Linked DNA regions of Lepisosteus oculatus. The protein of the gene in region 3 interacts with the protein of the main gene of each other region in a biochemical or structural test. Links are inferred from orthologs where the notes say so. Each region holds a gene or a part of one and is shown on either strand. Other genes may lie near its edges. The genes, in order: senp2, kpnb1, nup153 and nuclear RNA export factor 1.

What was found.
Region 1: the proteins of nup153 (region 3) and senp2 form a complex in vitro, tested with the Homo sapiens proteins (2 studies listed by BioGRID). The link is inferred for Lepisosteus oculatus from reciprocal best matches to the Homo sapiens genes NUP153 and SENP2.
Region 2: the proteins of nup153 (region 3) and kpnb1 form a complex in vitro, tested with the Homo sapiens proteins (4 studies listed by BioGRID and IntAct, with this or other methods). The link is inferred for Lepisosteus oculatus from reciprocal best matches to the Homo sapiens genes NUP153 and KPNB1.
Region 4: the proteins of nup153 (region 3) and nuclear RNA export factor 1 form a complex in vitro, tested with the Homo sapiens proteins (2 studies listed by BioGRID and IntAct). The link is inferred for Lepisosteus oculatus from reciprocal best matches to the Homo sapiens genes NUP153 and NXF1.

What each region holds. Positions count from the first base shown.
Region 1 is NC_090707.1:24,428,019-24,436,013, forward strand, and holds the start of senp2 (sentrin-specific protease 2), read left to right. Parts: upstream 1-4,988; 5' UTR 4,989-5,326; coding exon 5,327-5,496; intron 5,497-6,148; coding exon 6,149-6,204; intron 6,205-6,691; coding exon 6,692-6,807; intron 6,808-7,995. UniProt on the Homo sapiens protein: Protease that catalyzes two essential functions in the SUMO pathway.
Region 2 is NC_090723.1:10,479,193-10,486,209, reverse strand, and holds the start of kpnb1 (importin subunit beta-1), read left to right. Parts: upstream 1-4,014; 5' UTR 4,015-4,251; coding exon 4,252-4,291; intron 4,292-5,035; coding exon 5,036-5,094; intron 5,095-6,493; coding exon 6,494-6,676; intron 6,677-7,017. Other genes in the region: npepps (puromycin-sensitive aminopeptidase), read left to right, coding at 579-734.
Region 3 is NC_090705.1:16,834,025-16,842,022, forward strand, and holds the start of nup153 (nuclear pore complex protein Nup153), read right to left. Parts: upstream 3,005-7,998; 5' UTR 2,944-3,004; coding exon 2,866-2,943; intron 1-2,865. Other genes in the region: kinesin-like protein KIF13A, read right to left, coding at 7,544-7,761. UniProt on the Homo sapiens protein: Component of the nuclear pore complex (NPC), a complex required for the trafficking across the nuclear envelope. Functions as a scaffolding element in the nuclear phase of the NPC essential for normal nucleocytoplasmic transport of proteins and mRNAs.
Region 4 is NC_090713.1:22,970,855-22,978,499, forward strand, and holds the start of nuclear RNA export factor 1, read left to right. Parts: upstream 1-4,629; 5' UTR 4,630-4,762; coding exon 4,763-4,826; intron 4,827-5,913; exon of another isoform or gene 5,914-6,140; coding exon of another isoform or gene 6,141-6,174; intron 6,175-7,645. Other genes in the region: inositol-trisphosphate 3-kinase B-like, read left to right, coding at 167-371, 463-564, 648-719, 1,064-1,399.

The DNA.
Region 1 (7,995 bases), on a different chromosome or scaffold from region 3:
TTTAATGTATTGTAGAGTAACAGTGTAACCATCGAGGAAGGATCAGAGAAAAACAAAAAAATAAATCTCTGGGGTTCCATGTCTCGATGGTTTTCTCCTTTCCAGAAAAAGCTGTGTGTAGCAAGAAATTATTTTAATGACAGTATACTGTATATGTGATCCATAATGGGAGAGGTTGTGCTTGAGTTTAGTGTCTGTAAACAGATATTTACTGTGAGTGGCAGTGGATGTATCGCAGTTCACTTGGCTGATCAATCTAGGATCTCTGATCTACGTTTATAGCACTTCCTTCTTATTTTGACAGGCATTTAGGTGACTATCCATTTTATCTTCACAAAGAAGTTGCATCCATCTTCAGGCAGTACCTTAAGCAATCTGACTGGGAGTGTATAGGTTGGACATTGCTGACATCCATACAGAAGGAAGGGACCAGACTGTTTGAGATCCTTGCAGATTGTTGCTACATCTTCTTTCCTGTGCAAGGCTGCAAAGGAGTGTTTCAGTATTCAAATGACTGTCCATTTTAAACTCAGTCGCTGATTATATCACTTTGAGCAAACCATGGAATGTTGATGCAGATGTATAAAAATATATGTAGTTAGAAGTTGAAATAGATTTTACGTTAAATATTCTTCATGATTCTGAATACAAATCTTCTCTTAAAAGGGGTTATTGAAAGAAAAAGCCATATTATTATATGTTATCTTAATAATGCTATATTTAGCCTGAAACGTTTGCTTCTTTTCAGTAAAGCTTTAATATATCATGTTATTTTAAAGGACTGTTTTCTCCTTAATTTAGTGCATCTATCCATATGGAATGACCTTTCCAATAGTTTCACCTACTGTTGTCACAAACTATATCTATTTCTTTCTTTTCTTTGTAAGCTATGTATTTTTGTATTTATGATTTTTTGCAAAGTGCTTGAAATTTTAATAAATGTCGATTCTAACAACATATGTTTCTTTTTGTGAAACAGTAACTGTTTATGTTTGGAACAAAATCACTATAAGACTGAATAAAAAGAAAATGAAGTAGATTATTTTACCAATTTAAAAGCCTTTTATAAACAGTCTTTTGTTTTCTGTTTGTATTCTCTAAACCAGGAAACAACTTAGTGTTTATTGTATTAAGCTCTTTGTTGGTAAATAATTGGGTTTCCAGCTGCCCTGTATTAAATTTTGAACTAGACAGACTCTATCACAATGACATAGAGATTCCTGGTTCTGGAGAGCCACCCATATATACTTCATAGCAAACATAATCAATTTATATTTAATGTGTTTTACCGGAACACATACAGTATATTTGCAAAAAGTTTTTGTCACAGAGCGTGATCCCTAAATGCAGGATAATGTTAGCTTTTGTTGCTAGCTACTCCACCTAGCAACATTAAGAGTACTAGGACCGTTTTTGCTCCACAACAGGTTCCTCTATCCTACCAGAACCATCAGTACACCCAAAGATCTGCACAGAACAGGTGTCATACATAATTACACTTTTTAATACTTTATTATCAATCTATTCATCACACAGGACCTGCGATGCGACAGATTCTATAACTGCCTACCCAATACACAGAATACATAACACAACTTAATCAAAAGAGGCACATACTCACAGAACAGTAAAAGATCCCCATGCATCCCACTTACCAAAACCCAAATTTCCCAGAGGAGCAGTCCAACATCTCTGCTCTCTAAAACCAACTCCAGTTGGTGAGCTGGCATGCTTTCTTCCACCACAGACAGAAGAAACTATTTGTAGTTTTTGATATCTCCTCAGTCTTGGCCATACTGGACAATGTGGTCTCTTATGTGCCTTCCCACCCTGTTTTGCTCTGAATCTAGCTTCGGTAGGGGAGAGGAAGATGATGCTGGAGCCTTCCTCTAATTCTCTACTAGAATCCTTAGTGTCTGAGTCCTTACCTGTGTGCTGTGGTACGAACGGTTTTACTTTAGTTTCTTCTGTCTGTGTGCCCCATGAGTCCTAATGACTGGGGTGTTTGAAGCTCCTCCTACCAGGTCACATTCTCAGGCAAGTGGAAGTCTCCCTTTGATGTCTTGGAAGTGGGCAGAGCTAACTGCTTGGGGATCATTGATCAAGTCATGCAGATGACCACGATTAATGCTGCAGTGCGTATTTATCTCAGTCTAAAGTCCAGTTAGACCTGTCTCACAATCACACGTCACCTTGAACTGTCAGGTAACTGCACAAGGAGGACCTTTGATCTATGGGAAGCCCCAGAACAAGGAAAGACACGGAATGTACCATCCTTACAGAGACACTAGCCATTCTATGCAAACTTCGTGTCAGTATAGCCCTCACACCTCCGGCCCGACACCAGTTTTTTTACACTTTCTCCTACCTTTTCACAGCTGATGCATTCCTGCTTTTAATGTTGAATGCTTGTAAGGTCTGCTAGCCCAACACTGAAAACTATGCTGTGTATGGCAGTAAAATTCAATGCAGATAAAGCTGGCATTGTGAGTATCATGTTTGTATGGGACAATTAAATTAACAGTGATGGTAGGTATAGTAGTAACTAGTGACTAGTTTCCATGGGAATGTATTGGATTGGACACCACTGATGTTAGGGTATCAATGTCTTGTGCATACAATTTTTTGCTCAAGTTTTATGATAGCTGTTAGAGTATGCCAATGTTGCTTTATAAGTGCCACTATATGGCTTTGTAACAGCTTATTTTACTTAGTACTAAATTGACATTTTGCTAAGGTGGCTGACATAAGCAAAGAGGAGACTGGATATGTGGTTGATGAAAATGTATTTATCCCATTAGCTATCCTTTTCCCATTGTAATGGGGTTTCCATCTGTTTAGGGGCTATTCACCCAGCGGATGAACAGAATAAAATCCTGCAACTGACAACTGGTAACCCACTGAAGCTAAGTAGGTGTGAGCCTGGTCAGTACCTGGATGAGAGACCACCTGGGAAAAACTAAGGTTGCTGCTGGAAGAGGTGTCTTGCAGTCTGTTTTGGTTCTAATGCCCCATTATAGTGACGGAGACACTATACTGTAAACGGGCACCGTCCTTCGGATGAGACTTAAAACCGAGGTCCTAACTCTCTGTGGTCATTAAAAAACCCAGTGTGTTTCTTGAAAAGAGTAGGGGTGTTACTCTGGCATCCTGGCCAAAGTTCACATTGGCCTTTACCAATCATGGCCTCCTAATAATCCCCATTTATGAATTGGCTTCAGAACTCTGTTCTCCTCCCTGCTGATAGCTGGTGTGTGGTGAGCATTCTGGCGTACTATGGCTGACGTTGCATCATCCAGGTGGGGCTGCACATTGGTGGTGGTTGAGGGGAGTCCCCGTTACCTGTAAAGTGCTTTGAGTAGTGTGTCCAGAAAAGTGCTGTATAAGGTTAAGGAATTAATTAGTTAACAAAATAATGAGGTGTACCTAAAGGCACTAGCATGATCTGTGAGAAGTGTGTTGTCCTGAGAGATAGCTAACTGGCAGTTGTTCAACTTAACATTTTCCACATTTTTACCTTTCTGTTCATGTATTGTAGTGTGGGCTACATTAAGTGTTTTAATAGAAACATAAGCAACGTTCATGAAATAAAGAAAATAATGGAGTGTATATGACTGTATAAATGTTTTGCATCGCATAGTACTGTAATACGTCGCAAATTAGTTTTTAGTGTGAAGAACACAATTACGAGTGATTGAACCTGTTAAGGCTAGCTTGATGCAGACGCAAAAAGAGCGTGATATGCTGTTAATGAGGGTACGACTGAAAAACTATATAACAAATCCTTAAGCCTGGTCTTTAAACTAAATTGACTTTAAATTGTTTTAAACAAATTCGACTTTGTGGCAAAAAGGGTTTCCTGTTCTGTCCCCCCAAAGCTTCTCATCACAGAAATACAGCATGAGGAGGTGAGAAGAAGTCGAGAGGCAGAAAATAAAAAGTCTCTTGGTATTACTTAAAAAAAGGATTGATAAACATTAGTGAACTTCATTAATTAAAAAGTATATACATTCCTTTTTAGTTCCCTGGAGAAGAATATCAAAACAGATCAGTTTTGAAAACTGTAACAAGCTGTATAAGTATATAGCTGTAAGTTCTAATCATGTGTGATAATGAAAATTGTAAAAAAAAAACTTGACATGACAATTTGCGAATATTATTTAATTTGCGAATATTAATTAACAAATTATACAGGGCTATTTATAAAAATGAAGTGTTTATGTGAAAAACACACCACAAAATAAACCTACTTCATTGAGTGTTCAAAATAAACACCTACCTACTTCATTGTATTCGCGCAACTGTATCGACTCTGTTATCTAAAAAGTTTACGTTTTGACAGTTGACCGCAGAAGAAAATCCGAGATTTTACCCATATAATGTAATGGTATATCAGCCTGACATGTAACTGTCCAATACGTAATATACCGTTTATGTACAAATACACTACGTATACGCGGAGAGGACTGATAAGTCTGTTTTTCATGGTTCTGCTTTCTGCTGTTGTTTTGCTTTCTTAATTATAAAGTGTAATGTATTAACTGTAAACACAGTTCAGTTTATAATTGGTGTAATTGTAATTATTAATGTAATTGTAGGACTAGACTGAAGTTGTATGAACTTGGTGTGTACGATTGTTTTATATAATAAGCTAAAACGTTAAATATAATTGTTATTTGATTAAAAGTTTATATTATTAAACAGGAAATAATATTCGCAAAAACAGATTTCTCTGACAGCTCCGAAACGGAATAATTGGTGGGTAAATAAAACACACAGTGCGATGCAAATTAGCTTCAGCCTCGTTGAAAGCTTGAATAAAACACACGTTGTGAGTTTTACCTGCAACACTATAAAACATCACTCACAGTGTTTGTAGAACTACATATAATTAAATGTCAAAACACATCTGTACCCTTGCAGTGCATTTTCACAAACTGGATACTTCCCGCGGTGCGGATGTCCACCCTTGCATTGCTATGCTCGGTCACTCGCTTGCTGGTACGCATGCGCATCAACGAGGTTCGGCCTTATTGTGTTTTGGTCCGTGCTGAACTGAGAAGGCTGGGTTTAGTACTGCAAATTGAGAAGTGCGTGTTTGACGTATTGTTGTCGTTCAGTTAGCCAATGAAACCCCAGGATGTAAAATCTTAATGTTTTGTTTAACCAACCAGGTAGTTTATTTCAGTTTTTCAGACGTATTACTATGAGACGGTCGTGACGCGAATTGGTGTCCCTGTTCGGAGGCTGGTCAACCCAGCACCCTTCAGACCTGGCCCTGACAGTGACAGACGGACAGGCGGCCTTGTTGTCGCGGTTTTCTGATATGTATGAATGGATAGTTAACGGCATCACGTCGTTCTTTGTTCCACGTTCCCGGCAAAGGACGCGGAGTCCTCCCGGCACCGAGACCCCGCCGAGTTCCGCCGCCGCTCCTCGGCTGCAGAGCCGCGTCAGCCCCGCTAAGAGAAATTACCAGAGGTCGGTGTGTTGCAGGTTTGAGCGACGGGGGACGGGTGTGCAGACCAGTGCCTCGTTAACTTTTTCTTTATTGACATGTTTTGTTTCGAAGTCAAGTGGCAGTTTGATAAGAATAACGAGAAACAATAATGGTTAATGAAATGAAATAGTGTGTCGAACACGTATTTGTTCGAGTCATGCCAAGTTTGTTTCGGCGTTTTAAAAACCGTAACTTAGACAGTGTCGTGGAGTTTACTTCAAGACGTTTTGCTTTCCAATTGTCTTTGCTAGTGAAGTTAAATTGCAACTTTACGCATTGATAGCTCGTTACCCGTAGTTTTATCGGTGCTAGAATTTGTTTGGCAGAGAATACAATTTTTAACTATTGTATTAATTCCGTTTGTCAAATAGCTGAATCACGAATAAACGTTTGAAAAAATAAACTTGACATTTTAGCCTGCCTCTCTTAGGGTCGTAATGTATCCACCTAAAACCTTTTAAGGTTTTCCCATAAAAGCTGTTTTCATCTGGCTGTCTGGCACAGTGTTCTTGCTGTTGCAGGACATGTATTTGTACTGGTGAAATGTACAGGTATGGCACCTTACTTAGTTTGCCACAGCATCGAGTTTAGTGAGGAATAACTTTTATTCCAGGTTTTAAAATGGCCTCTGTGTTTTCCCCCTCCCAGCATCCAGACATCAGACACCCAGACTGAATGTTCGGGGATCAAAAGACCCAGAAGAGGTATTTTTCAGGCTTGTCTCTCCCTGGTGAAATTGTCAGTGCAGCTCTGATCTCTAGATTTGTTTTCTTTTTTTGCTTGTTGGGGAAATTAATTCATATGCTAAAAACGAATTTAGTTGGGCCCAGTAACGCCTGTAATTAAATCTGATCACCCTATTTATTTACTTGTGCCCAGAAACAATTTTCTACCCTATATAAAAAAAGTATCTTTGCATTAACGTTTCAGCAACATGTTTTGTTCAGTTACGATTATAATAAATCAACTTGTCTATTTGGAATGTAAATCATTAAACTCCCTAAACCTGAATAATAAAATGGATGGATGCAAAGGTTTGCTCTTTTCTATTAAGCAGTTAATGCATATTGAACAACTTATTCTAAACAGAATGTTCTCTTTTTTTTGTGCCTAACAAATCTCACAAGTAAAAGTGAGTATGCTCCAGTTTTGACATGTGGTGTCTTGTAATGTTTAATCCTTTCTGCCTAGATGGAGCTGTCAGTATTGTCAAAAAAACACTGACGGGAGTCACCGGGTTTTTCAGATTTCAGAATCCTTTTACTGCTTCTCACTGTGAAACCCTAAAGGTGAACAGCACTTCTCAGGTAGGTACTCTGTTTTAATTAAATACCATTTCAAAGAGTAGATTTTCTTTACAGATTCTCTAGTCCAAAACTGTTTTTACAGCAATACCATATTTAAGAAAGGACAATTGGAGGTTTAAGGAGTATTATTAGATTCTGAAGTGTTTCTCTAAAGTGCCATACAAAAGTATTCAGACCCTTGTTGTTTTAAAGCTTGCACTTTGTGTAACATTTATTTTTGCTATATCAACAAAGTTCTCCACACAAAGCAGGAAACAAAAATGAGTCAATTGAAAATTCATATGAAAGAAAAATGGAAACATCATGATTTCATAAGTATTTAATAATAATAATAATAAACTTTATTTTATATAGCGCCTTTAAAGGTAGCGTCTCAAAGCGCTTTAAAGGATGACAATAACAATAAATAAGAAGACTGCAACAATAAATAAGAAGAATACACAAGATAAGATACAATTACAATTACAACAATAACAATAGAGGAGACCATGGAAGGTGGTACTTAGAAGAACAGGAGTGAAGAATGGAACCAGTTAAATAAAGGCTTTTCTGAAGAAGAAGGTTTTGAGTCTGGATTTGAAGGTGTTTAGAGAATGTGACTCTCTGATATCCTTGGGCAAAGAGTTCCAGAGCTTGGGGGCATAGCAGGAGAAGGCCCTGTCACCCATACAATGTAGACGGGCTTGGGGGACAGTAAGGAGGGCAGAATTTGAAGAGCGGAGGTTGCGAGGTGGGGAGTAGGGCAATAATAGTTCAGACAGGTATTGAGGTGCCAAGCCATGTAGAGCCTTATAGGTGAGCATGAGGATTTTAACGTCTACGAGGAATTTGACGGGAAGCCAGTGCAAGGACTCCAGGTTAGGAGTAATGTGAACACTTGCACTAGACCTGGTCAGGATTCTGGCTGCTGAATTGTGGACATACTGCAGTTTGTTCAGAGTAGATTTAGATACCCCAGAGAGTAGAGCATTGCAGTAGTCAATTTGAGAGAATACAAATATGTTGATCAGCTTTTCAGCCACAGTTAATGATAGCATAAGGCGTAGTCTTGCGATATTTCTAAGGTGAAAAAAAGATGTTTTGACAGTATGCTGTACATGTGGGTCGAATGTTAAGCTAGAATCAAACATAACCCCAAGGTTTTTCAATTTTGATTAAAGTACAGAGCCATCTACAGATGGGTTAAAG
Region 2 (7,017 bases), on a different chromosome or scaffold from region 3:
ATTGTCTGCTACATCATTTGCTTCGCAGTACATTTCCACTCTTTCAATGTACGTTGCCCAGTCCTCAGTGCTAGTATCAAATGCGGTAATAGTTCCAATCATCGGCATTTTTTTTCATTTCAAAGCCCGTTTTCCTCACACATTAATTAGCTCACAACAACCACTATAAATTCACAATATGTACTGTATTTGAATGAACTCGCACGCTGCCTTTTTGCTAATGGTTAGCGTGTTTCATCAGTGTTTCTTCAGTGAATATTAAGGATTTAATATTTTTTGGGATGTGGGGGTGTATAGACTGTGTAGGTTCGTGAAGGAGCTCTGTCTCCATCTAACAACACACATCTAAACCTCACACCCCTGGGCCCTGGGGCTGCACAGAGCACATAGAGGAAGCTATACTGGACACAAAGTAAAGAGCCTGCAGGTTCCCTTGGGAAATTTAATACAACATCATCCCCTGTATCAGCCATAGTTAGTGTGCACTAAAATGTGTTAATTACCCCATCAGAGTGTAGTTTTGCCAGGGGGAGTTTTGTGTTTCACACTGACCAGAACTGTCTGCCCCCCCCCCCCAGAGCTTCTTCGAGAGCCACCACGCCCCCGCAGCCGAGCGGACGGTGCAGCAGTGCTGCGAGAACATCCTCCTGAACACCGCCTGGCTGAAGCGTGACGCCGAGGACATCCACCAGTATATCCTGCAGCGCCGAGCCCCACCCAGCGCCGCCGTCTGACGCCCTGCGGCCCGCGCCGTCCCGCAACCGGGCCAGGGGCCGAGGGAGGAGTCAGCCACGCTCTCCTGACTCCACTTCTCCACATCAAGTAGACAAGACTGGTTGGAAAATGAATGTAGTTAACCCCATTCTGCCCACGCCAGATTGTTTTCCCCAGACGGAACCGTGCTTGCAAGTAACTAAGCAACATAACTTAAAACACACAACATAACATTGTTGGTGTGAAATGATTCTGGCCAATTTTGTTTCATATTGACATAAGTGGAAATGTTGCATTGTTGAGCGTACTGTGAAATGATGAATTTGCTTTTCTGGAAACAAAGCGTCAAGCGACCACGAGGCAGCTCTGGCACCTCACTGGGGGTCAGGCGGTCAAGTGGAGCTGGGCAGGATGGGCTTAACTTCTCCTCGCGCGGAGAGCAGCCGTTAGCACACAGCAGCGCTGAAGGGTGATGCTGAGAATAGCTCAGTGGGAATGGCTGAAACTAGCATGGAACTTGATATGTATCTATCCAGTGTTTATTCACGCAAGACTTCTCACTCAAGAATGGTGATGTACATGATTTTCTTCCCTCCTCCGTTTCGTAGCCCTTTTCCAGAAGGACTCTTTTCTTTTCCATGGTCCCACACCTCCTTGACCCTGAGCTGCGTCCTCTGTAGAGCAGCACAGAGCCTCTGCCTGGAAACACATCTGTGTATCAGCCACATTAAATAAAATTAGATACAGATATTTTAGTAGATTTAGCAATTGTTTTAAAGTTGTGAAACTCATGAAAAGTTCTTCAAAGCGATTTGGGCCTTTTAAATGACATTTACAGATAATGCTGCATATTAAATTAGTTTTAAAGAAATGAAACTTTCAGGCCCTGAGAACTTTGCCACAAAGTAACTAGGATTTCACGGCTATTGAATTAAGAAGCCTTAAATTGGTTAAACTGGTTTGCAATAATTATTACACTGTGAAGTGGTAATAGTTACTACACTGAAAATAAAGCAATGTTGTACTAACATTACAAATCTACGTGTAGACTTGTTGAAAGGATATATTTACATACAATTTGCTATTTAGTGTGGCTTTGAACCATACTGGAGAAGGTCATCAAACTAATTGTCAAATTGCTTCCCTGAAACATCTGTTGTGCTTTTGTTTAAAAAACGGTTGGTGTTCATAAAATAAAAAATCAACAAGAAGTGTCAATGTGAAATCGCTTTTTCTTTTTTACTCTCTTACAAACTTGTTAGGACCTGTCAGTCATAGGTTACTGGCAACTGAAACAAAATATTGCTATAAAGCAATGTAATAAAAGGAAAGAATGCCAACATCACTCCTTTCTTCAATGACAGTGTTGATGTGTATGTTTGCAAACCTGGAGCGGTTATCCTTCATGCCAAAGGAGATTGAGCTGAGAAGTGCATCTCCATATTACCCAGTTCCCTGGGGTGTGTCCAGTATTTGGACCGTGCTGCTGTGTTGAGCAGAGAATCGGGAACTGGCACAGCTGCTGTTCTGGCAGTGGTGCCACAAGAGCTGAAGCTGCTTCTCCACACTGGAGACTCGGGCCCACACACGGGCCGCAGAACTGCAGGCCAAGCAGTTGTTTTTCAGTTTTGAGTCGCTATTAAATACTTTTATGAGGGAAAAACACAGATTTTTATTATTCTTATATATTAAAATCTGATTGCCGTGAACTTTGAACATAAAGCAAGCAACCAAACCAGGAGAGGATTGGCCCGTTTAGCACCAGTCTAGCTGTTCGGTAACCTCTTATTCAGAAAAGATTGACTTGCATCAGCCTTAGCCTGCAGAAGGCGGACACCAAAGCACACCATTTTAGTTTTACACAGTTTTTGCAATTTGAGGTCAAGCTAATTTGTGCTCTGCAGCCAGCTGTAAATGAGCTGTCTGTTATGGCTGCAATACCACTGAACTGCAATGTCTGCTTCTCTGTAGCATTTCAGGCCTCCTCTGGTGATGGCCTTATCCAGCAATGTTATGTAACAGAACAATCTTAAACTCTCTGACAAAATTTCTTCTTAATATTTGAGACTGTTGATTTGAATATTTTATACTAAACAGGGCTCGTGTAGCTGCTGTGCGTTATACCTGGAAGCAAATCGCACTGCCTTCCGCTGGGCAAACCTCGAGCTCTGCGCAGTCCACGCGCCCTGCCCTGTCTGTAAACCCAGCGCCCTCGGGCCGCGAGCTGCGCGAGCCGCACCGCCGGGCGGGAAGTACAAACTCTTCCAGCGCCTCATCGCGCCCTGCGGGCCGTGTATCCTTGCACAGACGGAGTCAAATAGTCCCCCGCACACACACGGACAAGGCACGGGAAAGTGCCGCGGAGTTGATGGTTATCAAGGAATCTGCCTTTTCGGATCTATTAAAATGCTCCTATCTACTTCCTACATTTACTTTTCTGACTTTCGTTTTTGAATGTGGATTACGGAAGAAAAGGCGTGCTAAACGTCGACAGGGCGGATGTTGCACTGTTTGAGCAAATCTCGTTTTCTAGGTCTTAAGAAAAATACTGATATTCAGGGCTCTTTCATGAGGCTGGGGGGGGAGGTTAAGTCACCCCACCGGGAAAGTGTATTTTGCATACTGTGATAGATATCGGTGACGGCTACAGTTCTTTCTGATAAAACATAAATTCAGCATACTGCATTGCTTACTTAAGAGGTACAAAGGAAAAAAATCAACATACTAAAATGATTCACTGTGGCTCCGCTCCTCACATGCAAGACCCCCTAAGTAATTATTCCTGGAGCCGCAGAAGGAGCCAGCAGGATGATGTGAGACCACCCGTCGTGCCGGGGTCTGGGTGTGCCCGTGTCTACAGGCCAGGCCTGCGCTGCGCTCCGCCGGTCTCCTCAATCCCTGAGCCCACGTTTCGCCTGTCTGTTTCTCCCGATCACGTTACCTTGCTGCTCGTATTGCTGTTTTTTAAAGTACCTCACTCTGTACTACATCTGTTACTACACCATGTTGTAACATTAGCTGTGTTACCCCCACGCTAATAATGTGACTTGCAGTAAACTATAGATCTATAGTTTACATACAGGCTTGTGGATGTAATCCTGCAGACAGGACGTCTCTATTATAATGAATATTCGGGTGAATATTGCTGTTATTAGGGACAGCCGCCCCCGCTCCGTCCGCAGGAGCGCGCACATCTGGCAGGGGGGACAGGCCGGCTCTCGCGGCGGCGCGGGCAGGAGCGGGCCTCGGGGGCGCGCCGGGGACGGGGGCGCGCCGGAGGGGAGGAGGCTCTGCCACTGCGGCGGCGCGTGATATCCTTCCGCGGGAGCGTGAAGCAGCTCCTTCCCCCCAGACAGCAGCACTGCCGCTCGGAGAGCACTTACCGCCTCGCCGGGCGCTCGCTGGGGAAACGCGTTTCATCGTCCGCCCTCCTCCGTTTGGAAACTTTCATGTCATATCGCCTGAATACAGAAGGAGTCTGATCCGGTTTCTGTGGTGCGCTACCAGCTACTACTTGTGTGGAGCGGCTCGGGCAGAATGGAGCTCATCACCATCCTCGAAAAAACTGTCTCTCCAGGTGATTATACCCCCGGAGCCGCGGGACTTCTCTTTATGTCCTCACAACTGCTTTCAATCCGGTGCTTGTTCGGCTTGAAAGCCGTGGATCCCGGGAGAATCGGGCTCCGGAACGGAAAGTTGTTTGTGAAAGGGAGGGAGGGGTGGACTCGGCCTGCAAGCCTGCCGGACCGGCTTTCTGGGGCCGATTCCCCGCGCACGTCGCCCGGCCTCCCGGCGCGGCCCCTGGGCTCCCGCTGGCCTCCCTGGGCCAGTCCAGGGGCGCCTCTGGGCACCGGCTGGCCCGGCGAGGTCTGTCTGGGAAAGCGGCCTAATCGGAACAGGAGGTGTAATTGTAGGGCTCGAAAGGCCGGGTCGTGGATCGGTGTAACTTCTGCATCTCACCGGTGGTTTCCTGTACAATTTATTTAAATCGTGGGTCTGTGGGCAGCTCGAAGTCGAATGATGGGGCTGCAGATTAGTGGTGTCACTAACTTGGGGATCTGAGTGCCGTTTTCCGGCGTGCCCGCCTGCGCGGTGAGCCCTGGCGGCCGGTCCGTGTGGTCCCGCATGAGCTGCCGGCCGCGGCCTGGGGCGCTCCGCCGCCTGCGAGCTCCGCCTGGGAGTGATTTTCTAGGAAAATGGAGATTTCTAGCTGTACGATTCTAGGCCTCCGTGTAGATGTCTAAATTGCTGATCTATAAGGGTATTTTCATTGAGTACCCGTTAGCGGATTTAAGCGACATTTTTGTTCATTTTATTTCAGATCGGAATGAGCTGGAGGCTGCGCAGAAGTTTCTGGAGCAGGCAGCTATTGAGAACTTGGTTTGTATTGGTTTTTTCACCCCCCCAGTCTGTGCTCTGCGTAGATTTCTTGCCCCCTGTCTGGTGCCCAAGTCCTCCATTACGCAGAAAAGATCCTGAATGAAAAAGCGCCATGCCCCCGCTGCCCACTCCATTGTAATCGGCTGTGAGTTTGATTGACGCGCTGCGTGGAGAATCGCGGGCCCGGATTTCCCGTGCAGCGTGTCCAATGGCGGCTCCCGTACAGGGCGTGGGGGCTCGGTAGAGGCAGGGGCCCAGTCCGGGGCCATGTGAGCGCCGATCCGCGGGGCCTGACCGCTTACAGACGGGCTTGGTGGTCTGTGCATCTGGCTTAGAAACCGAGAGTAATTTCTGCTTTCACCTCTGGTACAGAGTTATTTACGAATGACCATCGATGTCCTGAAGTTATTCCCCAGGCTCTGCAGATGTAGGCGTGGACAGAAAAGGTTACTTTTCAGCAAAGGAGAGTGTTCGGATTGGTGGTTATATGTGCAGTGTACAGCGTAGATAGTCATTTTTTAACTTATGCATAAGTTAAAGTGCAAATTTCAATACTACTATGAACGCTTTATAATCCGGTCTTTAAAGTATCTATCATTTTTACATATGTTCAAAGATAAAGATCTGAACTACGAAGCCACTCATGTTGTTCAGAGCCACCTTCATGAGAATACCCTTTTCAGTGCAGGCTGCTATTTGCAAGCTCTGTTCCAACCATGCAGTGGTGCATGCATGTGCAACAAAAACACTGGCATTTGAAGATTACCATGAATCTGCTTAACGTCTCATTTTACTTCTACCGTTGCCTTTTATTTTAAGTAATTGAAATCTTTTTAAGACATGTAATAAGGTTTAGCTCTTTGTCATTTAGTACTAACAGTATGGAAAAGTATGGCAACTGCCCTTTTTTAAACTAATAACTAATTAGTAGGACAAACTTGTGAAAGTCAAAAACAGAGGCCTAATAGTAACTAATAGTTGGCAGAGATTGATTGTGACGTCCAAAGGCATTCCCAGAGAACACACTGGATAAGTTGAGGAGTTGACCTTCCAGCGCTCGGCCTGGTTCGTGGTTTCGGCATGCCGTGCAGGCATCTGCATTCTAGGTCTCAGCCGAGCAGTTCGGTTAGAGCCATCCGTAATGGCAGAAGAGGCATTTATTAACAGAAAATGAACGGACACATTTTTGTGGTAAAGTACTGCTCTGGTGCCTGCTGTGGCTGAGAGTGTTAACTGAGGGTCTTGCAGAAGTGAACATAATAAACGCAGAAGTGGCTGTTTGTTCTAAAAGGGAAGGGGTTACCGCTTGGAATGCTGCTCTTGTAGTGTGGATTCGGGTCAGGGGTCAGCTCCTGCTTTGGCTGCGATGGCTCATATCTGTGGCTTGTTCATCTCCCAGCCTACCTTCCTGGTGGAACTGTCGAAAGTGCTGGCGAACCCGGGGAACAGTCAGGTGGCACGGGTGGCGGCTGGCCTCCAGGTGAAGAATTCCCTAACCTCCAAAGACCCTGATGTGAAGACGCAGTATCAGCAGAGGTGGCTCGCGATAGATGCCAACGCACGGAGAGAAATAAAGAACTATGTAAGTCTGGCACAGCTGCTGCATTCAGAACTGATCAGTTACCAGCTGAAGTTTTTCGGTTCTTTATATGAGACGAAGTAGGTTCATTCACCATGCTTCATAGCAGACACAAGTGTATCAAGCCAGTATGGTGGTGTTGTTGGGGTGCTTGTTGTGTTCTTTTGAACTATTACATCATAGTGCTCTATAATACTTCTAGCTTCCATATTTATTATTTTAGACACTGGTGTTAAATGGACAGTTCTTTTATTATTAAACTGGAGTTAAAGGAATTGTGTATCACTGCAGACATAAGCAGACCTTTTTTAATAACCCAATACTGACAACTTTCCTTGTTACAG
Region 3 (7,998 bases):
TGGCCCTGATGCAGATATCTTAATGAATGCAAGCACAAAAGCTGTCAGATGATGCAGATGCTGATATGAACCTCTGGAAAGCTCATTACATACTCAAAACCTGGGTTGAGACAAAAAGTTGGAATAAAACAACCTGTACGTGTACCTTACACTTACACTAAAAAATGAATCCTGACATATCCACACTCTTATCACAACTTTAACCTTAACTATCACCAATTCTTTGACGATAACCCTATACCACATTTCTAACCTGAAATTCAAGAGTACATATTGAGCTGTCCAAATTCGGTTACTCAGCCCTCTGCTTGATAAAAAAGAATAATTAGGAGTAAATGATAAGAGCCGATTTGGGATGCGTTTTCAAAGAGATGTTAATTTGGTGAAGGGGACAATTTATAACTTAAATTTACAAATAGCTGCCTGATATTTCAGTTGTCTGGCACCTTTAAAAAAATACAGAACTTCTAAGACAACACAACAGAGGAAAACAAAATTCAGATGCATATGGATTTGTTGCCCTCTTCAAAATGTTCTCTAGTTAAATGATCACATTTGGAGAATCTGTGCAGGAGTGTCTAGTTACTACAGAACTCATAGCAACACAGAGTATTCGGACTGCATTGCACAGGGACACCTCACTTCCCAGCCTTTCTGGCAGGTTCATCCTGATGTGACTATTAGTTTTCCTGAATGATGGGTATGTGGCATTTAAGCCATGTATAAATGATGGGAGTCCCAAAAAACTATGCAACCCGATTCAAAGCTTCCATTGCAGATGGAAGGGGCGATGCAGATGCAGATACAGATACAGATGCAAAATGCAGGGGCGGAGCGGTGGCTCTGTGGCTAAGGATCTGCGCCTGTGACTGGAAGGTTGCCGGTTCAAATCCCCGCGGCCGGCAGAGGAATGGGCCCCTACTTCGTTGGGCCCCTGAGCAAGGCCCTTAACCCCTAACTGCTCCAGGGGCGCCGTACAATGGCAGCTTCTCTCCCTGTCTGTGTTTCCATGGAGAAAAGCCGGGGTATGCGAAAAGGCGAATTCCTAATGCAATAAATTGTATAGGGCTAATAAAGAAACATTAAAAACACTAAAAAAAGATGTACTGCCTCATAGGCTGGCCACACCAGTTTAAATTAGAACGTGCCCTCTGTGTGGTATATGTCTTCTCCCTGATTCTATACGAGTCTTCTCCATGTGCTCCAGTTTCCTCGAAGACACGCTGGTCAGGATAACTGACTCTCTCATTGTCCCTATGTCCGTCTTTCCTGCAACATACCATCCAGAGCGAGTCTCACCTTGTGACCCTCGCTAGGAACAAACAGCTTTCTGATACTAGATGAACTGATAGTTCAGTTTTCTTTCACTACACATTTTCCTTCCCCGTATTTTGGACAACTTTCGGCACAGTGAAAGCGCTTCGAAAGACCAGGACAGACAAGAAGAAAAAATATCCTGCAACTTAAGGCGCATTTAAAAAAAAAATTAAACCTCATTCCTAAGACAGAAGCATTCAGGAGATGAACTGGCATATTATGTAACAGGCCCAGTCTTGCATAATTTAACTTTTCATGAACTTGGCCTATTTAAACCAATTTTTGTACCTGCATCATGAGTGATGTTCTTAGATCTGTCATAATATGCCATCATGACAGATCTAAGATAAAAAAACAGCACAAAAAATCCCCAAACAGTAGCAAATCTGTTAACCAGCTGTATTTTTAAATGATTGGGTTAGCTACTACAGTTCTCCTTGGTGAAATCCTAAATTGCGTGATAAAGTTTGAAACAAAGGTTGCGAGTTAACAGCAAGATGCTTCAGTGTGACTAAAAACTCACAGCTCAAGCCTGTGGAATGACTTCATCTAATACAAACCTACACTCGGGTTCTTCTTGACAGAATCCACATGTCCAGAATTTGGAGTGATTTAAATGGAATTGAAAAAAGTTAAATATAACAACATTGTTATACTCGAATGGTTTTAAAAGGTGGGGGGGGCGTTCTTTTTCAAGCTTTTTGGGTGCCCGGACATGATATTTAAAGAGAGACGAAACTTAGAATAAAATACAGCACCCCACGAATAAACCACTTTTAATTGGGTTGGTTAGCGCATACTCCTCAATAACGGAGATTACACTTTAAACCTCACATTGGGAAGTGCAAAGGTTTAGGAATACAATATACTTATCCCGCTGGCGTTCGAACATCGAATGCCGCAAAATTTCGGCGATCTGCCCGCTTACGACGTGATCGCAATCACTGCACTGCGAGATCCGGAGCCACATGCTCGGAGCACAGGAGCGCACCGATCACCCTGACTCGCCGTCTAAAAGGACGGAACTCGGCGGTCTCAAGGATTAATTCCGCGAAGCGAAATTATCGGGGCTTTCCCCTGTTTCCACCTGGCGAGTGTGTGCACGCCACTCCGGCAAGAGTTACAGTCTTAAAGCAACATGCGGGGCCTGGACTCGCTCCAGGGTGGACGCACGTTACATTTTTAGCGCCCGAAAAAAAAAGTAAATAAACAAAAAAAAATCAGCGAAGAGAATACCAGTAAAATCGCAAAATGATGCAAAGTTTAAGTACCGCTTAATGACAATCCGATAATGCACCCCGACTGCCTCTTCACGCCACCGCTACTCGCAGTGTGCTCCCGGGCTGCCTTATTTCCCCGACCTCCCCGATGTGTTCAGCCTGCCTGCGCGCCCAGTAGGCCGCAGACACCAGGTACCAGAGAGCGCAGGCCTCCGAGGATGGGGCAGACCAGGCCGCAAGACGCCGTTACAAACACACAACACCTGACTACCACCAGCGAGCAAGACACCGCCGTTTTCTTTTAGCCACAAAGCAGAGTTCAATTTACCTGTTTGCCTTTGGCGTAAGGTTTCGAAGCGATGTGGTACCTCCTAGTTCTGATTTTCCCTCCTCCTGCAGCCGCCATGGTTTACTCACAACAGCTCACCGCTCGGTATCGGATACTCTTCTCCCGTCAGCCTCCGAGAAGCCTGGCCCGCCGCTATACCGACATGCATCGCGGGCGAGGCGTATGCCAAGGGTTTGTGGGACCTGAAGTTCTGTTTTCTGGTACGCCTCGTGGAAGAGTTAACTTAATTTTTTTTAAATAAAAAAGCTGAATGCGTCGGATAAAATCATACATTCGTCAAGATGTATTTTTTATTAATCACATTTAACTTACGTACACACGGAATATTACCATTTATAGACACGTCTTTGAAACGTACAAAAAGGAATTTGGGTACACCGACCTGTTCAGATCTTTCTATCTTGACGACGTTTGAGCACATAGGTTTTACTGCTAGAATTTTACGAGTGACACAATTTGTTACCTGTACTTTAAATTGAGTTGATTGAGTGAAGGTTTTTGCTATTCTGAGAACCTCAATTCAATTCCCATGTTCCAGGCTAGAAACACTAATTTTGTCAGTGCTCACCTCTAAATGATTTTTTTAGCATGCTGACAAAAGGTTTAAACTATTCCATGTAAAAGCAATCTAATTTATAACTTAAACGTTACTTACACTTGATTTAACCTTTGCAATCTCAATGCTATGCCCAAGCATTCTTTTGTCCTTTTTTTATTACTTCCTCATACTATGTAGTTGATGACGGTGAGAATTCAGTGTACTTTGCCTGAATAAAGAATAAAATCTCCGGAGGAATTGTGACATCACCCAAGCACAGTCAACACACCAGAGGTAAAAAATCAGCATATATTTTATTTTAACTCCCCTGGGGAGCTGGAGTACAACTTGTACTCTCTGACTCTGTAAATACAGTACAAGAACCCTGAATAGCTCCTGAATGCCTTCCATGCAGGTGCTGGCCATTCTCAGATACCTTCCAAGCTGGCCTTGCCTGCAAGTTGCTCTTAAACCAGGCAAGAAAGCAACCCAGTTGCAGTCTCCCACATCTACTCTTGCCCCCTAAACTGGGGCAGGTAAACTCCACTGGGTGTGTGATAGCCAGAAATATGGCAACTGAAATTACCGCTTTGAATTACTGTGAAGGGCATTCGTCTTGATTTTCAAATGTGATAGTGTAGGACGCTTTCCGCAAGAAATGCAGTGGATGGAATTGCAGGACAGGCACAATGCCCTCTGGGTGATCTGGAGTGGATATGAATTTACTGGCAATACAGTGTCTTCTGGTCCATCACAAAGTGTCTAGCACGGATTGTGAAGAGATCTGTGGATTAGAGTGATCTTTCCCGAACAAAGTTTCCTTCCATTTACACTGGCCAACCATTTCAGGGAACATACCAGTACAGTCAGGATTGAGGTCCTTCCCAGTCCTGTAATATATACACACACTATTGTGTCTGCCACAGTCATGGCCACAAAGACCTCTGTTTCTGTCCTTTGGCAGGAATTTAAAAGCCCCAATGCCAGAAAAACATCAAGTGAAATTTAATATAATTTTGTGCAGAAGAGTCCACATAGGAAGATGGCACAAATACATATGAGGCAGTAATAGTGAGATCTAGGAAGTTACAGTCTGCATGAAAGGATCTATGTTTTTATACAGTATGTAAATATCCTTTTTAATGTCCTTGTAGTACTTTAGAGCGATTTTACATTCAAAGGTAATGAAGTCATCCTCTGGAACAGCCTCTATGCCAGTGAGCCTTGTTACTTGAACCGAGTGAGAAAACAGTCCTAAAAACCTTTGGTTTCAGCTAGAGTTACAGATCACGGATCTGAATCCGTGATGTAAAGAGTTCAGGGTTATATTGGCAAGACTGCAGACTGGTGTTGTACACAGAGCTTCAGAGAAAGCACACACAATTATACAGTAAATGACATATCTGTCAGTGAAGATATTCAGCCTTTAGGAAGTGGCCATAAGCCATTTAAGCATACTGTATGTTTTCTTACAAACCTTTTCATGAACTGCCTTTTTGGGAGATGCTCTTCAGACGGCCTTTAACGGAAGAGCTAAGTAATAAGTAATAAAAACCTATAGACATCCAGAATAATCTGAAAAGCCGATTCACACAGCCATTACTGAACTGTCACTCTGATTCACAAGAAGAAGTACACTAAGAAAGACACTACTGATCGATGTGTTTGAGGAGTTTGGTAATGACTGATTTTTTCTTTCAAATATTTCTTACAGTATAACAATATAATATGTGTCAGACTGCAGGATTCTCAATACAATTGTCCAGACAGAAGGGGGGTAATTGTATTTTATGCATGAGCCTTTAGTGGGTGAAACTTAAAAAAAATGTTTTGCTTTCTACTGTACATAAGAAAGGTTACAAAAGAGAGGAAGCCATCTGACCCATCTGATCCATTTGGTAGTTTGTAGTTAATTGATCCAGGGATCTCATACAGCTGTTTCTTAAAAGGAACCAGGGTACCAGCTTCTACAATATGGCTAGTTGGCTTGCTCCGGAATACAACAATTGTAACAGCAGTATTAAGAATATAAGGATGAAGCTTTGTCATACAACCAGAGTTTTAAGTTAAGAATTTTTACAATGCAACTAAATCACCTAAGGCTTTATTCAGAACCCTCCTGGAAATCAACATAGGACTCCAGGTGCAGTCCAACTTGAGAATTGTGCAGTTTCTTGGCTAACTTTCTGGACTTTCATTTAATCCTGAATGGGCAAATTAAAAGTACAGGTTTAGATACTCTGTGGTTCAACACAGTGATGTATCTTCTTTATTCTCAAAAGCACTAAAAGCACTGTGACAGCACTAAATGACTTTACTTGGTAATTAAAAGCATGGTAATTAAAAGCATGGTTTTGAGTCCTAAGATATTGCTTTATATGGTGATACTCTCATAAAGAACCAGTATTATTTTTCACAAAAAATCCCTTTTATCTTATTTTGTGAGGAAGTTGGTGTTGAACAGATAAGCTATTTGTTACATAGCGGTGGCAGGCGATAGATTGAAATATCACAGTTCTTCTGAAAGAAGTCAGCAGCTAGCAGGGAGAGCCCAGTGTTTAACAGGCATTGCTCAAGCCATAGTGCCGATTCTTAGTCATTTTAACAGCTCTTTTTTGCTGTGCTGTAAATTGTACTTCAGTGCATATATTTAAAACAAATGAAAATGTCTCAGGAATAGGTAAACGTTTATTCCACGCTGAAAGGAAAAGAGACAACGTTTCAGATGTGGTCAAAATCCTGAAGAAGGCAACATAGCTGAAACATTGCATCTCTTTTCTTTTCCTTTAAGCATGGAATAAACCTTTACCTGCTCCTTTGCAGTTGACACATCTACCTTTCAGAAATATCTTATGAATGCCAAGATGAACTGGCTTCTGACATAATGACTGCTTAAAATAAGTGATGACCCTTGAGTAATGTACCAGATAGAGAACTTGACAATGCTCATGACTATCTTGGAATGAAGAAAAAAAGACAAGAAAAGTATTTACATTGTAAACATTCTGTATTCTAAAACACTTCTGTACCAATTAAATAGAGTTGGTGAAATACAATATAAATTACAATTCTGTACAGTACAGTGTAGTAAACACTATGTCCAAACAGGGGGCTATTTACACCATCGATTCGGGGAGAGCAGCTTTTTTAAAATAAGGTCCTGGGTTTTTACTTGAAATTACAGTAGACCGTTTGTTTTTGCAGCTCCTCGTGATGAAATCTGTTTAAAAATACTTTTAGCAATACTTTTCAAGCAGAGCACACAAGACCCACTATCATCCAAGTATATAAAACTATGATACATACATTTTTTTTGTTTCCCCATCATTGTCCAACCCTACCATTCCACATAAAAGTTTAAATTAGGAGAGTCTAAGTACCATTACATAATGGAAATTGTACTTGTTCCAAAACACAACAAAACTGAAGCTCTCTTTGTAGCAGTAACACTTTTCTCAGTCCTGTATCTACCTGGCAGACAGACTTGAATGTTAGTGTTTTAAATGCCTTGAGGCACTGGATGATGCATGGTGATTGAGTTTGTACGGATTCCAGTAAAAGCCTAGTCAACACAGTAGCGGCCTTTTGGAAGACAGACGTCATGGAAGAGTGTTTTGTGAAACACAGAGAAGCAAAAGGCATTACAATACCTAGCCATCAAGGGAAATATGGCACAGAGCTTTCCCTTTAAAAAAACAAACAAACTAGGGTATGGACAGCAGATATAATGGGTTCTTTGGCAATTCACAACATTTAAAATCATACAGACAAGGAGTTAGGAAAACAGACAATTTTAACAGTGGTCTAGTTTCTAACAGAAAACCCACATTCTCTCAGGAGGTAAGCTTGTCTGAGTGAATAGGCGTCTCCAATGAAGTAATTCAGAATTAATACAGCATGTCAAAGTTATAAAATGTGGGCTTTAAACTAAGTACATGTGTATCTGTATAATGTGCACCAACTACTAGCTGTTAGCTGGTGTCTAATAAAAGGACAAAGTCACGACCCAGCAGAAACCATTCAGTCACCTTTCCGAATATACACATCAGGTTCCAATATACACAACCAAACACTGTTTCTCTACGCAGCAGGTCGCGTAGCAAGAGCAAAAGCCGAGGATCAGCTGACCCACGAGCGGCGGTGTTCTTGCGTCTTCGGGGGGGTGGCGACGCCTCTCCGTTTCCTGCTGGTGCTGGCGGCCGACTGGGACCTGGGTACGCTGTCCTGCGCTTTGACCTTGTGGGGGGCTGGAGAGAGGCGGGTGGGCTTCACAAACACGCCGTGTCCCGGGAGGCAGCGGAAATACTCCCGCCCATGGACAGTGCCGTCGTGTTTGCCTGTAAACACAACAAATAAAAACATTTACATCCACAGGATAGATATTTCACAACGCAAACTTTCTTTCTCCGCCTCAGTGGCGATGGCTCGTCTCAGAGTAAGAAGAACTTCCTTTTTAATTTAAGAACTTCAGTCCCTCTCTGTCCACAAATATTTAGACCACTTTTAAACATAAGTGATAGTTTTACAACACGTGGTGTGCCAAACAAGACTTTGAAATAAGCATGCAGCTCAAG
Region 4 (7,645 bases), on a different chromosome or scaffold from region 3:
AATAATACAGTGATCGATGGCGGTGATCAGTGATACAGTGATCAATGAGACAGTGATAGGTGGTGGGGATCCGCGATCGGTGGCGGTGATGAGGGATCATTGATACAGTGATGAGTGATTGATGACGGTGATCAGTGATACAGTGATCAATGATGCCCTCTCGCAGGACCTATCTGGAGGAGGAGCTGACCAAGGCGCGCCTGAAGCCCTGCCCGCGGAGGGATATGTACCAGAAGATGGTGAAAGTAGACCCGGCAGCTCCCACGGCGGATGAGCACGCTCAGCAGGCCGTGACCAAGCCGCGCTACATGCAGTGGAGGGAGACGATCAGCTCCACGGCAACGCTGGGCTTCCGCATAGAGGGCATCACTGTGAGTGACCCCGGCGCGCTGACCACAGGTCACAGGTCACAGGTCACAGGTCACACACACACCTGCGTGACTCCCACTCCCTCTCTCTCAGATGGAGGCCGGGAAGGTCCTGAGGGATTTTAAGAAGACTCGAACCCCTGAGCAGATCATAGAGGCCATTCTCGCCTTCACCAGGGGCCAGACGCCTGTCCTGGTCAGTGTCCGGCCCTCTGTCCCGCTGTCCCTCTCTGTCTCGCTGTGTCCGCAGTGTTGACTCTCTCTCTGCTCTGCCCGCAGGAAGCCTACCTCTCCAGGCTGAACGATCTCCGCTCTGCTCTCCCAGACTCGGTCTTCTTCCACTCCCACGAGGTCAGTCAGTGTGTCCGTCAGGAGGCCCTGGAGAGCCTGGACACAGACATTGGACTCCCTCCCGTTTGTCCCTGACCCCTGACCTCTGACCCCTCTCTCCCCCAGCTGATCAGCAGCTCCCTTCTGTTTGTCCCTGACCCCTGACCCCTCTCTCCCCCTGCTGATCAGCAGCTCCCTCCTGTTTGTCCCTGACCCCTGACCTCTGACCCCTCTCTCCCCCAGCTGATCGGCAGCTCCCTCCCGTTTGTCCCTGAACCCTGACCCCTGACCCCTCTCTCCCAGCTGAATGGCAGCTCCCTTCTGTTTGTCCCTGACCTCTGACCTCTGACCCCTCTCTCCCCCAGCTGATCGGCAGCTCCCTCCTGTTTGTCCACGACCTCTCCGGCCGGGCCAACGTGTGGATGATTGACTTTGGGAAGACCACGCCCGCCCCGCCCAGCCTGGCGCTGCAGCACGACGTGCCCTGGACGGAGGGCAGCCGCGAGGACGGGTACCTCATCGGCCTGGCCCACCTCACCTCCATCGTGGGCTGGGCCCTGGAGCGATCACGAACCGGCCCCGGCCCGGGCAGCAGTGCCGAATCGGACCAGGATTTCAGGACTGCCCCAGAGCCGAGTCCGGTTCCGCCCAGGCCTGCTGACGACGGTACTGGACCCAGACCCAGACAAGGGCACACCTGACCACACGGCCAGCACACTCAGAACCTGCCAATACTGGACCCGGTTACACCAACAGAGCCCCAGACTGTAACCCATAGCAACCGTGCTGGCCCACCATGCACAGGGTCAGAGGTCACCGCACGGTTCCTCTTCACATCCGGTCTCCGTGGGGATGATGTGGTGGGAATGGGAAGCTCTCCATATGGGAATCTGCAGTCGATATTCCTCGGATTCTGACCCCCTGGGAATCTCGGGAACGACGGAAGGTTCGGACGTGATTGGATTGTGTAGAAATATTGGAGTTGTTGGTGTCGAGAGGGGTGTGTTTTGGCAGCAGTATTTCAGGGAGGAACAGGGGCTCCCTGCTCTTCCAGGAGCTGGAATTCCCCTGCAGGGAAAGACTCCCTATTCGGCCTCATTCGTCAGGGAATGTGCAGCTTTCACTGTCCTGGACACACTGACCTCCAGGACTGGACTGGAAAGCCCTGTTCTAGACACACTGACCCTCCAGGACTGGACTGGACAGCTCTGCTCTGGACACACTGACCCTCCAGGACTGGACAGCTCTGTTCTAGACACACTGACCCTCCAGGACTGGACTGGACAGCTCTGCTCTGGACACACTGACCCCCAGGACTGGACTGGACAGCTCTGTCCTGGACACACTGACCCTCAGGACTGGACTGGACAGCCCTGTTCTAGACACACTTCCCCTCCAGGACTGGACAGCCCTGTTCTAGACACACTGACCCTCCAGGACTGGACTGGACAGCCCTGTTCTAGACACACTGACCCTCCAGGACTGGACTGGACAGCCCTGTTCTGGACACACTGACCCTCCAGGACTGGACTGGACAGCCCTGTTCTAGACACACTGACCCTCCAGGACAGGACAGCTCTGTTCTAGAGACACTGACCCTCCAGGACTGGACTGGACAGCCCTGTTCTAGGCACACTGACCCTCCAGGACTGGACTGGACAGCTCTGTTGTCTGTGGCAGTAGCGATTATCATCAGTCTGTCACAGAAATAAAGGCTCCTTGAACTGTGTTGTTTGCTTCCTGTTCAGAGTGTCAGGCTCTGCCCCTGAGCTCCCAGCCACACAGCGGGTCTAATTAACTAATTAACACAACTGTAACGCTTCTGCGCAGCTGCAGGGGTGTCTGCAGAGCTGGACCTGGAGGGACGGGACTGTGAGTGACCTTTAGTAACACCTTGTGTGCGTCTGAGACGATGACGAGGTCAGGGGGCTGATTGGCTGAAGCCCTCAGGGGGACACACTCCTGAGACCCCCAGGAAACACTGGCAATGGAGAGCCAGCACCCTTAACTACTTAATAATAATAATGATAATAATAATTGCTTACACTTATAGAGCGCTTTTCTGGACACGCCACTCAAAGCGCTTTACAGGTAATGGGGATCCCCTCCACCTCCAGTGTGCAGCCCCACCTGGATGATGCACCAGTCCGCTCCCAACACACCAGCTCTCAGTGGGGAGGAGAGCAGAGTGATGAAGCCAGTTCAGAGAGGGGGGTTATTAGGAGGCCATGAGGGGTAAAGGCCAGGGGGGAATATGGCCAGGACACTGGGGTAACACCCCTACTGTTCTCGAGAAACGCCCTGGGATGTTTAATAACCACAGAGAGTCAGGACCTCGGTTTTACGTCTCATCCGAAGGACAGCGCCTGTTTTACAGTACAGTGTCCCCGTCACTATACTGGGGCATCAGGACCCACACAGACCGCAGGGTGAGCACCCCCTGCTGGCCCCACTCACACCTCTTCCAGCAGCAGTCTCAGTCTTTCCCAGGAGTCTCCCCTCCAGCTACTGACTGTCGAAGAAAACTCAGTCTTCACTCAGGTTGGCAGATTGTCAAACAGAGATCTTTAATACGAGCAGCTGAAGGGGAGCACAGCACGGAGATCGGGTTTCCCCTCGCGCTCCAGACATGCTCCCCGGACTGAAGTGACACTTTCCTTTTTATACATTAAAAGTAGGCGAGACTTTAACGCCTCAAAGGAACACACAGGGAAAGGGGCAGTGTCGGAGATCAAACAAACAGGACAGGAAGAAGCCATTTGGCACCCTGCACTCTGTTTCATCTCTCTCTGGTGGAACGGGTGTGAGGAATCACAGGCTTTAGTTTGCACCTGAGACAGAAAACCTTTCCCGCGCATTGTCACTGTCGTGACCTTTTGGCCCGGTCTTCCACAGGCTCACCCTGCTGGGCTCCAGTGGGCTGCCAGCTGGGAGTTGCAGAGTGATATGGCTGCTGGCCACTTAATTCAATCAATTCAATCAACTGCCCTGATTTATAATAATAATAATAATAATAATAATAATAATTGCTTACACTTATATAGCGCTTTTCTGGACACTCCACTCAAAGCGCTTTACAGGTAATGGGGATCCCCTCCACCACCACCAATGTGTACCCCCACCTGGATGATGGGACGGCAGCCATAGTGCGCCAGAACGCTCACCACACACCAGCTCTCAGTGGGGAGGAGAGCAGAGTGATGTAGCCAATTCATAGAGGCGGATTATTAGGAGGCCATGATTGGTAAGGGCCGATGGGAAATTTGGCCAGGACACCGGGGTTACACCCCTACTCTTTTCGAGAAGAGCCCTGGGATTTTTAATGACCACAGAGAGTCAGGACCTCGGTTTTACGTCTCATCCGAAGGACGGCGCCTCTTTACAGTATAGTGTCCCCGTCACTATACTGGGGCATCAGGACCCACATGGACCGCAGGGTGAGCGCCCCCCGCTGGCCCCACTAACACCTCTTCCAGCAGCAACCTTAGTTTTTCCCAGGAGGTCTCCCATCCAGGTACTGACCAGGCTCACACCTGCTTAGCTTCAGTGGGTTGCCAGTTGTGAGTTGCAGGGTGATATGGCTGCTGGCAATATCAGCAGCTGTTCCTGCATTAAGGCTCTGTATTTTATATAGCGCCTTTCACGACCAGTCCCCTCCGAACCGCGATGGGAGCGGCAGGCTCACCAGGAAGTGGAGGGAAGCTGACGTCATTGGCCCCGCCCAGAACGCGGAGACCCCACCCCACCCCTCGCCTCTCTTCGAAGCGTCCCGCGAGGAGCGGCGTCGCCTCAAACGGACATGCGCAGTATCCCGCACTCCACCTCCAGGGGGCGCCGCTCCGTCGCCCGTGGCCCCGAACCCCCCCCCCCCTCCTTTTCCCCGCCCCCTGTCACGTGACCCCCCCGCCCGGCTGTCTGAAGTTGGCGCGGGAGAGGCTCGCGCCGGGGGGTAACGGTCGCTCTCTGGAGCCCGGAATCACCTTGTTAATCAGCGACCATTATAATAATAAAAAATAAGTAAGTGAATAACGAATTTTAAGAAGTCATTGGCGACGGTGACGACGATGGCGTTCTTTCCCAAGTGGTACGAGGACTTCGCGGTGGTGAGGCGCAGGGACGCGGAGACAGGTACACGCGTGAGGAATGACTTGTGCTCGGTTAGTTTCGGACCTGTATCGCCCCACTCGTGTTTGTCACACACAGATGTGTCTGTCAGAGAGGCCCCCTCCCGAGCCGGGTTCAGAAACGGGGCTCACTCCGTCGCGCTGGCGTGAAACCCTCGGCACCCCCACTCCGCTAACAAACCCCACGATAATTCCTCCCCCGGGCGCCCGGTGGCGATTTGGTTTTGGCCGGGTTGAAGCGGGGACACGCGTGGGCCGTCTCGCTCGTGTCCGAGCGCCCACGTGAAACTGAGCTCCTTGCTACTCGTACGAAACACGTGCATCTAATTAGATAAGGGGTACAGGTCAGATCACACTGGGGGCTCCAGTCCAGTAGGACAGTCTGTTACACTGGGGGCTCCAGTCCAGTAGAAGTGTCTGTTTCACTGGGAGCTCCAGTCCCAGTCCAGTTACACTGGGAGCTCCAGTCCAGTAGAAGTGTCTGTTTCACTGGGAGCTCCAGTCCAGTAGGACAGTCTGTTTCACTGGGAGCTCCAGTCCAGTAGAAGTGTCTGTTTCACTGGGAGCTCCAGTCCCAGTACAGTTCCACTAGTATTGTTGGGCTCCTTGCTCCTGGTGCTGCTGGCGGTCCAGGAAGTGATGGAGTGCTCAGGCTCGGCTCTTGGTTCCTCAGGCAGCGCGGTGTCTGCCCCGGTCCTCCGGACCCCCCGGCCTTGTGGGCTTCCTCTCGGCCAGATCATGCGCCATCCCGGGCTTCCCCTGTGCCTCTGTCACTCGTGTCTTGTCAAATTCCCCGAAGCTGAATCTGCCCAACGCAAGGTTTACTGGTGGCCAGCCAGTGTCAGCTGGCGAAGCTGGAGAGCTCCGCAGTCATGATAGATGGCATCTGATTGCGGACGGACGCCCTGGGTTCTTGTGTGTTTTGTTATCACTGCGCACAGCCCCCCTCGGGTCTGAAAAGTGTTTTATACCTCAGCTACGCGACGCCAGCTCCCTGGAACCCCGCACCCTACCATATAGGGAGCCGGGCGTCCGTCCACACAGGAAGTGCGTCACCGGAAGCTGGCCGCTTGTAGTTCTGCGGGCTCGGGGCGGCGGAGACGTATTGCGCAAGCGCAGTGTTGATCTCCCAGCTTGTGTCGCCAAAGCACAGCGATCGCACTTGTGCGGGTAGAGGAAAGAAGCGCCGATCAGGACGTTTTTACAGTAGCGCGTCGGCTGGATTATTGCATGAGCACAGCAGGGTAGTCTTCTCGGGCCGTGCGAGTCTTCTCGGGAGCGATCGTGGGAGCTTTCTTTCGTGGAGTGCGTGGGGAGCATGGCGATGGCGGACGAGGGCCGGTACTATAGCGGTAAGTGATGGAGCTTCTCCCTGTCCAGCTCAGCCAAAATGGAGACCCGCGTCCTCCAGCTGGGGAGGCGAGGGCAGACTGCGGGCCGCCGAGATCTCAGGAAGGCGCCCTTCGTGACGCGCGGTGCGGGTTTGTTCTCGTCCTTTCGCGGATCGCGGCTCCGGTCCAGTCCGGTGCCGTGACGCGCTTTCAGCGGGAGGGCCAGTGTCGCAGGGCGCCTGTGCGTGCGTCTGTCTTCGTCCCCGTCCTCGCCTCGCAGTCGTGACGCCGACCCCGAGACCAGGAGACGGGCTGGGGAGAGCAGGTCGTTCCCGGGGCAGAGGGGACCCCCGCTCCGGCTGCTGTTCCCCTGTAGCTGCCCGGTGGTCGCACGGACCCCCGGTGGCGCAGAACAGCGGTCAGGCTGAAGTGTCGCCCCAGCCCCTCCGGTCCTGCGCGCTGCCGAGAGGACCCCAGGCTCCCGGCTCGGGATCGCTGCCGACCCCTCTCACCCTGACCGTCCTGTCTTTCCAGTCTCCCATCAGGAAAGATTAGGTCAGGTGGCACCAGGAGCACAAGGCAGACTCTCATTAATCACCTGCGTTGACCACTGGACATTACTTTAACTGTGTTATCAAAATTGAATGTTGATTATTTAGTTTACAGCCATAGTATTATGTGCAATAATAATGTTATCTGTATGTGGGTATTTATTATGGATAGTTTATTTATCATTTACAAGTATATATGTGTGGGATTATCACGTAGGGAGAGTTCTGACACCTTCTTGAAGTGCAATATATATTTTTTCTTTAATTTCTGAAATGTATGTCGTGTTTTATGTGTCTAGTATATGTGGCGTGTTTGTATGTATACAGTGTATGAACAACTCACCAAGTCAAATTCTTTGTAAGTGAACACTTACTTGGCCAATAAAGAGATCTTTTGATTCACCGATACTGTAGCACATCCATTAGTTATCCTGCTCCCAGAATGTGCAGGCGCTCGGGGCTGATCCAGTGACAGTGTATCACAGTGTCCACGGACAGCGCTGTTTCAGAGGGACAGGAGCTGCAGCAGTGTGAAGTCAACAAGCCGAAGGCCTGTGTGAAGTCAGTGTGCGAGTGTGAAGCACACTCCCTGCTTTAGAACATTTTCATACAGTAAAACCACTCGGATTCACACCCTTAGAATCGTGCACCACAGGGCGCTCATCCAGAGACTGGGACTGGACTGGACTGGACTGGACTGGGGTGCCCCCAGAGTGCTCGTCCTGTGTGATAGGGACTGGGACTGGACTGGAGTGCCCCCAGAGCGCTCGTCCTGTGTGATAGAGACTGGGACTGGACTGGACTGGAGTGCCCCCAGAGCACTCGTCCTGTGTGATAGAGACTGGGACTGGACTGGACTGGAGTGCCCCCAGAGCGCTCGTCCTGTGTGATAGAGACTGGCACTGGACTGGAGTGCCCCCAGAGCACTGGCCCTGTGTGAT